Rattus norvegicus: one gene and its partners. The protein of the gene in region 2 interacts with the protein of the main gene of each other region in a biochemical or structural test. Links are inferred from orthologs where the notes say so. Each region holds a gene or a part of one and is shown on either strand. Other genes may lie near its edges.

Region 1 (4,272 bases), on a different chromosome or scaffold from region 2:
ATTTGTGCCAGGAAAGTGAGGAGACACTCCCCACCACAGTGTGCTCCTACAGAGAGCTTGACCGTACACCAGAAGGTGGAGAACTGAGAGTCCTTTTATACTTGAAGATAAAACAAAGACTAAACACAAACAAATGTCATCTGGCTTATCTTTGGAAGAGTAATCAGGAGCTGGGCAGAGTACGTCACTCCTACAATCTCAGCACTTGAAGCAGAGGCCAGAGGCTTGCCTAGAAGTTTAAAGCCAGCCAGGTCTACAGAGTTAGCCTGAGGCCAACCAGGGATACACAGTGACACTTTCTCAAAAAATGAAGTCTGAACTGTCTTCCACAGAAGACATGTGAGAGCTGGGGCTGGTGGCACCCAGGATCTCTATGAGTTCAGGGCTAGCCTGGTCTACATAGGGAGACCCTTTCTCAAAAAGAAGAAGAGAGAACAAGCATATGCAGATACACACACATGGACCAACCCTGCCGCTTTACAAATGTGGAAGTCCGGAGGTGCAGAGACCTGCTGAAGGTCATGCAACAAGACAGGAGTAGTCGATTTCCTGTGGTCAGAGCTGCAGAGGCTGCAGAACAAATCCTGGGATCGGGAGGGGTGGGTAGGGAAGAGGCCATGGGTGCTACAGTCTACTAGCAATGGCGCCAAGCAGGAAGTACATGTGGACAATGAACTAAATGTCTGAACTAGGCAAGCAGTGTCAAGCAAGGGCAACAAGGGCTGGACTACCTTTCCTGGTCAAGGTACAAGGCCGCAGGTAATCAGGGTGGGGCTCTCAGAAGAGTGGGAAGGCTCCAAGAAAGCCAACTGGGGAAGAAGAGGAAGCAACAAACAGGAACAGCTGAATTTAGGCTTTCTTCTATAGGCAGACTCTCAGGGCCCCTCGTCCTTCCTTGAGCCCCTGGCTAGACCAGGAGTGCAAAGGCGTGGCTCCGCCCTGTGAGTCTAGGGTCTTCAGGTTCCTCCTCTTAACAATGCAAGGTGGTGTGAAAGCCTCCACCCTCTCCACGTTGGAGAAAGTATCGCCCCTCCCCCACAGAAGGCCCAGCAAAACACAGAGCCTCAGTTTCCTCATCTTAGAAATGGACGCGGTAAAGCTCATCACACAGGGAAGCTAAAAGGTTGAATTAGAACCAAAGCGCTAGGCATGCCCAATGCTGGTTTTCTTCCTCGCTTTCAATCCAGTGTGAGGTCTCTAAAGAATCGTGAGTCTGTTGAGCAAGAAAGGGCTGTGGGCAGAGACTGGGTCATGTCACAGAACTGCAGATGTCAGAAGACAAAGCTCCCATAGAGATGGTTTGCCCAGCATTCTCCCCTCCCCACACACCATACTGGGGCACAGAGCAGAAAAGGATGTGTTCAAGGCCACTCCACTTGGCTGCAACAGACCAGGATCCAAGGCCTGCCAGGGTGCTCTTCTGCTCCGTAGACTCTCAGCTAAAAAGTTACTTTGCTGGGTTTTTAAGTTTTTTGGTTTTTTTTGGTTTTTTTTTTTTTTTTTTTTTTTGAGGGTGGCACAACAGACGACAACAGAAAGCAAAGCCAAGCTCCTTAGCCTCGCTCTGGAGCTGTGGCTAAAGGATACACATCTCTCATGGCTTCCAGGGTGGGTGCTCTGAGGATGTCTCGGATGCCTATGACATTCTCATGGCGGAATCGCAGCAAGATCTGGATTTCTCTCAGCGTGCGCTGACAGTAGGTTTGATGCTCGAAGGGGCTGATCTTCTTGATAGCCACTCTGGTCTTGCGCACGTGGTCATATGCTGAGCTGAGAGAGCCAGAGAGATGTGTGGCCTTACAAAGGGGGAATCCAGGCCTGGTGGCCCCACCCAGGCCTTGGCAGGGACCGGAGAGAGCAGGAGAGGGTTCTGGCCAAGTGTAAACAATGCTGGCTCCTTCCTGCTGTGAAGGCCTGGAATCTCCAGGGGGAAAGCTGGGGACCAGCCAGGCAGCCTTTCAGTGACTTCACAAACAGAGGAAGAGAGTGGCCACTCACTGACTTCCTTTCTCCTGGACCCTCTTACATTGTAGTTGCCCTCACCCTCCTCCCCTTTCCTGAGCTGGACTCTCTCAATCCAAGACAGGTCCAGGGGATGGGAGTTAAATGGAGAGAGTGGATGAAACCCAGAGGATTCAGTAATGGGACAGGGGAAGAGATAAGAAGGGGTAGGTCTGTCTCCCGGTGAGGTTCCTGGGTCAGAGCTGTTCCCATAGGAACAAAGGCCCAGAGCACAGAGTGGGGCAGCGAGAACTCACAAACCTGTATCCCACAAAATAAGGCACATTCTAGAGACCCCTCCCTACTTTGGGCCTCTGGCAAGGCCAGGGGCAGGGGTGCAAAGGTTTGCCCCACCCTGAGCTTTGCTCTGCTCTCTCAAACTCTGTCACAACCTCATCAGGGGGGAACCAAGGCTCCCACTACCTGCTTATGGGTCTCTCACTCCCCCTTCACCAAGAATAGTCATCCTCTTAGCTCCACCTGTATCTCTAGGGTCCCCCAGGTGCCCCTCCCTTAACAATACAAGGTGGCTTCCAAGCCTCCAACCCCCCTTCCCGGAGAAAGTAGCTCCTGGTCCCCCAGAAGTCACTGCACGATCCCTCCCCTGCGACACTCCCCGGACCCCATGTCCCGGGCACGCACCTGCTGTCCCCGCTCTGAAGCCCCCTCCTGGGACACCCCCTCACCTGACCATGCCGTACGCGCCCTCGCCGATGTACTGCAGCTGCGTGTAGCGTGGGCCCACGTCGAATGGCTGCCCCTTCACCACCTCCACCTCCCCGGGGACCACCGGGACGACCCCAGCAGTTCCCCTGGGCTCCCCGCCCCCGCCCCCCGGAGCCGCCGCCGCCGCCGCCATCTCCACTCCTCCCGCCTCCCCCCGCTGCCCCGCCCGCGGCCCCGCCCCTCCCTGCCGCCCTGTCACCGCGGGGCCGCGCGCCAGGCTCCGCCCCCGCCCCCGCGCGCCCCGCCCCCGCGCCTGCCCGGCGAGCCTGCGCGGGCCCGCGATGTCACGTGGTCTACTGAGAGCGCGCCCGGCTTTCCCGCCTAGTTACGCTGTTCCTTCCTTGCCTTGGCCACTAGGGTACTTTAGTCTGCCTAGAGAGTACTGCAGCCCCAGGGGCCAGTGGCCCTGAGTGATGCTGAGGGAACCCACCCCTAAACTTTGGAGACCTGCCTCTCACTTTTTGTTTCATTTACGCAGACAGTATTAATCCAGGCCAGCCCCAAAGGTTCTATGTGGTGGAGGTTGGCCACATCCTCCTACCTTTAGGCCTGAGCCATCATGCAGATTCTGGATGTTAGGCAAGAATCCTATCACTGAGCCACATTTCCATCTTCTCTCTCTCTTTTTTTTTCTTTTTTTCTCTTCCTTCCTTCGTTTCTTCCTTCCTTCCTTCCTTCCTTCCTTCCTTCCTTCCTTCCTTTCTTTCTTTCTTCCTTTTTCTAAGAGGGTCTCTTGACATGGAACTGGCTGTCCTGGAACCCACTATGTAGACCAGGCTGGCCTCAGCATACTAACTCCCCTGTGCTGGGATTAAAGACTGTATCACAATGCCCAGATTCCATAATTTCTTATTCGTTTATTTGCCACATTTATTAATTTTGTGTGTTGGGGCATGAGTATGTCACAGAGCCTGTGTGGAGATCAGAGGATATCAGATTCCTTCTGCTGTGCAGGTCCTAGGTATCCGACTTGGGCTGTCAGACTTGGTAGGAAGTACCCACGTTTGCTGGGCCCCCCTGTGGTGGTGGTGGGCTTATCCTAAGTGTTATAGTGAGGAAGCAGTCTGAAGGGTGGTGGATGGCAGGCAGCACTAGAAAGCTGTGAAGTCAGGTATGCTCCTGTGAAGAGGCAGGCCTGCAGTGGGCTCAGGTGTGTTCTGAGACCCAGTGTTATTGCCTGGAGGACATGCAACCCAGCCCACTTCATATGAGAAGGAGGGAAAGGGTGATAACTGTGAACAAAGATAACTAAATCAATTAAAATGTACAATCTGTTTCTCTCTCTCTCTCTCTCTCTCTCTTACACACACACAGACACACACACAGACACACACAGACACAGATACACACACACACACACACACACACACACACACACACGTGCGCGTGCCAAACAGCAAAATCAAGACCCTGGATCGAGGCTAGTAAGATGGTTAGGTAAGCAAAGATGTTACCATAAGAATGCTAAAAATTTTTTTTAAAGATTTATTTATTTCATGTATGTGAGTACACTGTAGCTGTCTTCAGACACACCAGAAGAGGGCA
Region 2 (3,645 bases):
AAGAGGGGACTCAGATCACCCTACTTCCTGAACCTGGATCCCGGCACCACACTCTGAGACAAAAAGTGGCCAGGACAAAAGCCCTGAAATTCACACAGCCCTTTCCAACAAGGCAACAAGAGGAGATCTGAAAGACAATACCCTCCAATAGCTCATTCTAATGGTGATCACGGCCATCCACCACTTACCTGATCTCTCAAGGACTTCCCAGAAGGGTTCAAGGGCTTCTAGAGTGCAGGAGATAGAAGTCTGGGCGCTGGGGATGAAGGAAGCAGAAATATGACTAAACTACCCCTCCCAGCAGGCAGAAAGGGCTTCCCTTTCCCCTGCTCCCCCGAGGCTCACCTTGCACAAGGTGCAACAGGGGACTCCAACATGGGGCAAGGATCTCCAAGAAGGGTGTGGAGTGAGCCACTGACGCCCTTAGCCAAGGCATGGAGGTTATAGCCACCCTAGGGAAGGAGTTGTTGGGGGAGGCAAGCAGAGGGCCAGATATTACCAGGGAGAGATACTGAGAATAGTAACAATATTTGGGTGCATCCTATGTCAATCAATAAGAAATTTAGAGAATGACTTCATTTAATTCATGATAAATGAATGGAAAGTGATTATTACTATTATCATGTTGCTGACTTGACATAAGGGGAGCAGAGGCACAAAGAGTTTATGAAGTGGTAAGGCTGAACCAAGAAATCAGTTTTAAAAAAAAAATCCCAGGCTGGAGCTGGAGAGATGGTTCAGTGGTTAAGAGCACTGACTGCTCTTCCAGAGGTCCTGAGTTCAATTCCCAGCAACCACATGGTGGCTCACAGCCATCTGTAATGAGATCTGATGCCCTCTTCTGATGTGTCTGAAGACAGTTATAGTGTACTCACATACATAAATAAATAAATCCTAAAAAAAAATCACGTTAATTATTTACTTTATGAAGTTTTTACCTCCATGTAATATATATGTATATGTGTATATATGTTTGAGCCTGAGGGATCTCCTGGCACTGGAGTTATGGGTAGCTGTGAGCCACCATGCTAGGAAACAAACCCAGGTCCTCTGCAAGAGCAAGTGCTGTCAACAAGTGAGCTATCTTTTCAGTCCTGAGGAACTCCTTACATACATGAAAGCTCTTGTTTTTAGTGGTCCCGAGAATGGAACCCTTATAATATAGTAGCTAAGTATTCTACCTTTTAACTCCATCCCCTAGGCCCCAAAGATCTGTTCTTAAGCCTTCATGTGGGGGTTGGGGATTTAGCTCAGCGGTAGAGCACTTGCCTAGCGAGCACAAGGCCCTGGGTTCGGTCCCCAGCTCCGGAAAAAAAAAAGCAAAAAAAAAAAAAAAAGCCTTCATGTGGGCCAGTGAGATGAATCAGAGGATCAGAGGGCTTGCCACCAAGCCTGAGTTCAATCCCCCAAAAGAATCTACATGGTAAAAGGAGAGAACCAACCCCTCCATGTTGTCTTCTGACCACACCAGAGTGTGCCCACGCACACATATATACAAGAAATAAACAAATACAAAAGCCCCAAGCTCTTTGGTATCTCGGGGTTAGATAAAGGTGAGTTACTCACCTCCAGAGACAGAATCAACTTGCCTCCTGCCAAACCCATAAGGAAATGGGTCAGGTGGGCAAATCCTGCTGGAGTGGCAGACATCTCTCCCTAAGGGGACATAAGAATGACATGAAGCTCAGTGTACCCCCCTTTGTCTGCCTAACACCCCAGAGAACCTGCCTTACCTTGGGGTCTCCATGGAGGGCATCAAATCCAGCGGCCACCAGGACCAGTTGAGGCTGAAACTGAGGAAGGGGTCAAACTAAGTGAGAACAGCTGCCTTCATGGATCAACCCTCAGTGTTACCCCTACCCCAAATCCCCCAAATCTCCCGGACCTCAAAGGCAACTGGCAGCAGGATGTGCAGGAAAGCAGCAATGTAGTCGGCATCCCGCATCCCCACCTGCAGACACAGAAACGCGATGTAATAGTCAGTCATCTCTCTGGAGCCTCTGGGAAAGCAGGCTAGGCTCAGTTTATGGGAGCAGAAACTTACTTGGTTCCAAGGTACATTGATGGTATATCCTTGGCCTTGGCCAAAGCCTGTAGTGGACCAGTTAGAAGCCTTAAGGTGGGGCCAGAACCGACCATGCTCATAGCGGTGGATGGAGAAATAGAGTACACTAGAGGCAGAGAAAAGAAACATTGAGGGATCAACTAGCTTGTGTTAACCCAATCCCCAGCACAGAAAAGAACATGAAAATTGAAGGGTCAAGTGTAGGACTCTTGACCTACAGCTGCAGGGACTGGTTCAACAAGTTGCTTTTACAGCTACTCAATTCATTCTCTTATAAGTTTTTCTTTTTTTAAAAGGAATTATTTATTTTATTTATATGAGTACACTGTAGCTGTCTTCAGACACACCAGAAGAGGGCATCAGATCCCATTACAGATGGTTGTGGTTGCCTGGAATTGAACTCAGGACCTCTGGAAGAGCAGTCAGTCTTCTTTTTTTTTTCTTTTTTTGGAGCTGGGGACCCAGGGCCTTGCGCTTGCTAGGCAAGCGCTCTACCACTGAGCTAAATCCCCAACCCCGCAGTCAGTCTTCTTAACCACTGAGCCATCTCTCCAGCCCCATCGCATACATTTTTTCTAATTCTCAATCTATACTCATAATTTTTCCATTAGTTTACCCTTCCATTCACTTACCAACTTCTTCATTTTCTCATTAATTCTCCCATTTTTTCTACATTTTCACTGATCTCCCACCAGAGCCCTTCTGTTAGTATCTACCCAATTTCAGACTCAAGTCTAAGGTCTCAAGAGCTACTGAGTCCACCCAAGGACTTGGGCAATGCTGACCTTGTGAAAAACTCTTAGGTAATGTCTTCTCATATCCACCCCCCAAGTGCTATTATCCCAGGGTAATAACAATATTGGCTCCTGGGCGTCCACAGAGGTCCTGGGAGAACGTAAATGCAGAAGCCAGTGAGAGCTGTAAGAGTCTCGAGGCCATGATAGGGAACCTAGTGATTCCACTGAAAGAAATGGACAGATGCAGAGGCTAGAAGTGAGGAAAGATAGGACTCAGTTTTGTGTGTGGTGCTAAAGGAAAGGATCTTGTCTAAGGCTGCTATGACTCAGTTATGACAGTCCTTCTTCCTTAATACGTCACAAAGCCACCTCTACTACTTCTATTTCATAGATGAGAAAATGTCCACAGCAGTGAGAGGGACCAACATACGAAACTGAAATTGAAATGACATAATGGGCAGGTTCTGGCAGGTTCAAACTGAGAGGAGATACACAGACACACAGACACACAGACACACAGACACACACACACACACACATCGTTCTGGGTAAAGAGTCATGATGAATAGGTCCTAGCTAAGAAGGCGTGGTCTTCATATTGAGTCTAAAAGGCAAGATGTACAGACTCCAACAGAAAGCACAGGAGAGGGGCTGGGGATTTAGCTCAGTGGTAGAGCGCTTACCTAGGAAGCACAAGGCCCTGGGTTCGGTCCCCAGCTCCGAAAAAAAGAACCAAAAAAAAAAAAAAAAAAAGAAAGCACAGGAGACAGTTTTGGGCAGTGGTAGGTAATTCTGTTTTGAGTGAAAAAAAATCTTTCACTTGTTTGTCCATCTATCTATCCA
Region 3 (3,645 bases), on a different chromosome or scaffold from region 2:
GGTAAAGGCAAGACTTGCGTGAGGCTGAGGCCGGGCGAGCAGCGCAGGCACATGCGCATGGATCCGCAAACAGCCCGGGGACACAAACCAGAGCAGAGGGATGGGCAAGCTGCCGAGGACGGGCTCTCCTGGCAAAGCCAGCTGTCTAACCACAGTGCCCAGTGCAGGTAGGGAGCAGGGGAGGTGTGGGCATGCTTCCAGGAATGGGGACAGGGAGGGGATGGGCGCAGGCCGGCGGGAAGAAAGCGGAGGAGGGAGGACACAGGACAGGCCTTTGCAGTGCACACTCCTATAGCACAGTCTTCGCACCAGCAGGCCTTACTCTCATCTGCTTCCTGGGCGCCTGCTCTACTGGGCACTAATTAGAGGCCCCACCGTAGTGTGTTCTCTTGCTTTTTAAAAGAAAAAAACAAAACAAAAAAAAACCTCTGTGTGGAAATGCCACCAGACGAATCTGTCTGTCGCTGCCACACACAAACACATGAAAGTGACGGTCATGCAGCCTAGACATCACAAGGACCAAAGGCCACCTCCACACAATCTGCTGGGCCAGCACTAAGTACACTCGCCCTGGGCCTGATGGCATCTGGGAGCCTACAGTCCACGCTGATTCAGGGCGTCACATGCCTCCGCCTGGACACTGTCGGGTTCTAGAACCAGATCAGCTCTGGGGACCAGGTCTGATCTCTCAAGGAGAAGAAAGAGCAATAGCTACTGAGATCTCCAGGGCATGCCTCCCCTTGCCTGTATCAGCCACACACACAGTGTGCACTACGGTGAGGCTCTGGGTGGAGACAAATAGCACACAGACAGTGTGGCCAAAAAACAAAACAAAACAAATACATACACAAAACCTTGTACGCCTGGCCAAAAAGCAAAACCAAAAAAAACCAAGAAAACCAAAAACCAAAACAAAACAAAACAAAAACAAAAAATAAAAACAAAACAAAACCCACCACCACCAAGAAAAACCCCACACCACTGTAAACAAAGACACAGGGGGCACATAAAACAAGGCTATAACACTCCACGACCCCAGTGTGTGGTTAGCATCAGGTCTGGGAGAAGTAAATCAACTCCCTGTGGGTCAGAGGCAATGAGGAGGTGCTCAGAGATCAGCACTGGGGGTCGGCAGCGATGAGGCCAGAGGCTGCAGATACTGCCTACCTACAGAGTGCCTCCTAACCTGAACCCAAAGGTCGGAGGGAAAAAGAATGGGTGGGGTTGGGGGGGGGGGGGGGGGGACCGAGCTCCAGGTTGTTCCTCTGGCATGAAACTGAGTGGAGAACATCATGGCAGCCAGTGGCGGCACAGGAACTGTCACAGGCACTGTGGTAAACCCTGAAGTCTATGCTGCAAGCCAGCTGCACTGCAAGGGCTGGTAGGAGGAGGCAGGGGAACTGTGCCTTGCTGGGACTCGTGCTTGGCCAATTTCTCCTTGTAATCAAACCCCACAGCGGAGGAGTCCTGCCTCTCGGACTGAACACCAAATTTGCCTCCGAAACCAGTCTTATAGTCTGGAGATCCACGTGAGAGAGTGAGGAACATGACCGAGAGAGGAAACAGCTAGGTTAGAATCACATGAGCACGTGCGATTGTCAAGTACATCATGTTCAGACACAAGAGCTCTGATCTGCTGTTCTAACACTGACCGAGGTGTTAAGGAACAAACTCAGAGGCCAGCAGGCTCCAGTTGAGATGCAGAAGAAGGGTTGGAACTGGACGGTAAATGTAAAGTTTAGTTAAAGCTCCTCCAAGCTTCAAGGTTTGCCGGGAGGGACAGCTGGGGACAGCTATAAGGGTTCTACCCTCCTCAAACCAGCTTTCCCTGGGACAGGGTCCCACTGTGACAAGAAAAACTCCTCTAATTAGAAGGAAGTAGGCAAGGAATTGAGGGAGGCTCAGATAGAGACAGAATCTGTCCAGCACAGATCGTCCCTGGTTCCATCTCCAGGACCACAGAAAGAAGCCTGTCTTCCATACCATGGCCCACCTTACAAAGGAGAATGCAGGAACCCGGAGGACAAAAGCCCCATAGTAACCAGGCTCCCAGGGGCTACAGCCCTGGCATAGGGGGTGAGATGGGATGGGATTGTCTTATCCCCCTGCCACCTACAGAGACTTCTGGAACTGGGGGAGACAGGACAACTTGACACCATGAAAACAAAACTCAGACAAACACGGCTAACATGAAGCATGTGAACCCCTGAGGAACGAACACGAGCTTCCCAGAGGGCCCTGAGGAAAGCAGGGAGTGGGGCTAGAAGAGGTACCTTTTTGGGATTCATGCAGCTGCAGCTTCTCCTGATGGTCCCAGCCAAGGGCACACTTGTCCTGTCTGTCTGTCTGCACACCAAACTTTCCTCCAAAGCCTTTTACATAGTCTGCATGCACAACAGAAAGCCATACCCCGGCATTACTGCACAGCCAGGACAAAGAAGAGGTGGGTTTCAGATGCCACAAGACACACTTCACTAGTCCCTGGTGACACCCGACAGAGCCCTCCTTGAGATCACCGCATCTTAGGAGTGTGGTTAAACAGGCAGGACCAACGCATGCAGCCCTCAAGGCAGCGAGGTCTCATCACACACAGGCAGACGTGCGTGACAGGACACTGCTACAAGCAACACTGGGGCTTGGGGTCAAAGATGAGGCCACTGTTTGAGTTCTCATGTAACCACAGTCCGGGACCGGCCGCCTTAGGATGACCATTTAAACGACTGCAGATGACAGCCGTTTTTCTCTTCGGTGGCCACACCTGTCATCCTGGGAGGGGCTGGCGAGAGGAAGGTAAAGTGGCAGGTACCTTTCTGGGACTCATGCTTCTCTGTTTTGCCTTGATACTCAAAGCCCACAGCGCTTTTATCCACCTTGTCCTTGTCAATTCCGTATTTGCCACCAAAACCTTTGGAGTAATCTGAAACAAGAACAGCACCATATGGAGAACTAGCAACAGGGTGAGTTAGAAGGCTGGGGGTGCCTGCCACAAAGTGCGAAAGCCTGAGTTCAATCCCTGGGACCCACATGATCCATGGTATAAGGACAGTACCAACTCCTGCAAGTAGTCCTCTGACAGCCACACATGTACTCATCCATACACAAGCACAAAATGAATACACATAAAAAACTGAGCCAGGGGGCTGGGGGTTTAGCTCAGTAGTAGAGCGCTTACCTAGGAAGCGCAAGGCCCTGGGTTCGGTCCCCAGCTCCGAAAAAAAAAGAACAAAAAAAAAAAAAAAAAAAAACTGAGCCAGCATCAGACTAAATATTATATGGTCTTTAAGAATGTAAGTTGTGACCTGTCAAGATAGCTCAGTAGGCAAAGGCACTTGTCACTAAGCCGAATAACCTGAGCTCAATCCCTAGAACCCACATGGTGGGACGAGAGAGCCCAAGTGTGGTGGCTCATGCCTGTCTCCAGCACTCAGGAGGCCAAAGCAGATTACTGAGGACCTAAAACCAACCAATCCATTACGCACTGAGTTCAAAGCCACCCAGGGCGACAAAGTGAGACAGACGTTGGCTGAAAACAAACAAAATCAAAACCAAACAAAAACAAAAACAGAAAAGGGCCAGAGAGACGAGCACAGGATGCTCTTGCAGAGGACCAGATCCAGTCCCCAGCACCCACATGGTAGCTCACAA

Evidence for each region.
Region 1: the proteins of Hdac6 (region 2) and Mapk3 form a complex in vitro, tested with the Homo sapiens proteins (2 studies listed by BioGRID, with this or other methods). The link is inferred for Rattus norvegicus from reciprocal best matches to the Homo sapiens genes HDAC6 and MAPK3.
Region 3: the proteins of Hdac6 (region 2) and Cttn form a complex in vitro, tested with the Homo sapiens proteins (3 studies listed by BioGRID and IntAct, with this or other methods). The link is inferred for Rattus norvegicus from reciprocal best matches to the Homo sapiens genes HDAC6 and CTTN.

Annotation. Positions count from the first base shown.
Region 1 is NC_086019.1:190,795,816-190,800,087, reverse strand, and holds the start of Mapk3 (mitogen-activated protein kinase 3), read right to left. Parts: upstream 2,895-4,272; 5' UTR 2,861-2,894; coding exon 2,688-2,860; intron 1,771-2,687; coding exon 1,588-1,770; intron 1-1,587.
Region 2 is NC_086039.1:17,233,117-17,236,761, reverse strand, and holds part of Hdac6 (histone deacetylase 6), read right to left. Parts: intron 2,172-3,645; coding exon 2,045-2,171; intron 1,952-2,044; coding exon 1,886-1,951; intron 1,794-1,885; coding exon 1,734-1,793; intron 1,657-1,733; coding exon 1,567-1,656; intron 453-1,566; coding exon 346-452; intron 257-345; coding exon 189-256; intron 1-188.
Region 3 is NC_086019.1:209,043,911-209,047,555, forward strand, and holds part of Cttn (src substrate cortactin), read right to left. Parts: intron 2,918-3,645; coding exon 2,807-2,917; intron 2,385-2,806; coding exon 2,274-2,384; intron 1,518-2,273; coding exon 1,407-1,517; intron 393-1,406; coding exon of another isoform or gene 349-392; exon of another isoform or gene 206-348; intron 1-205.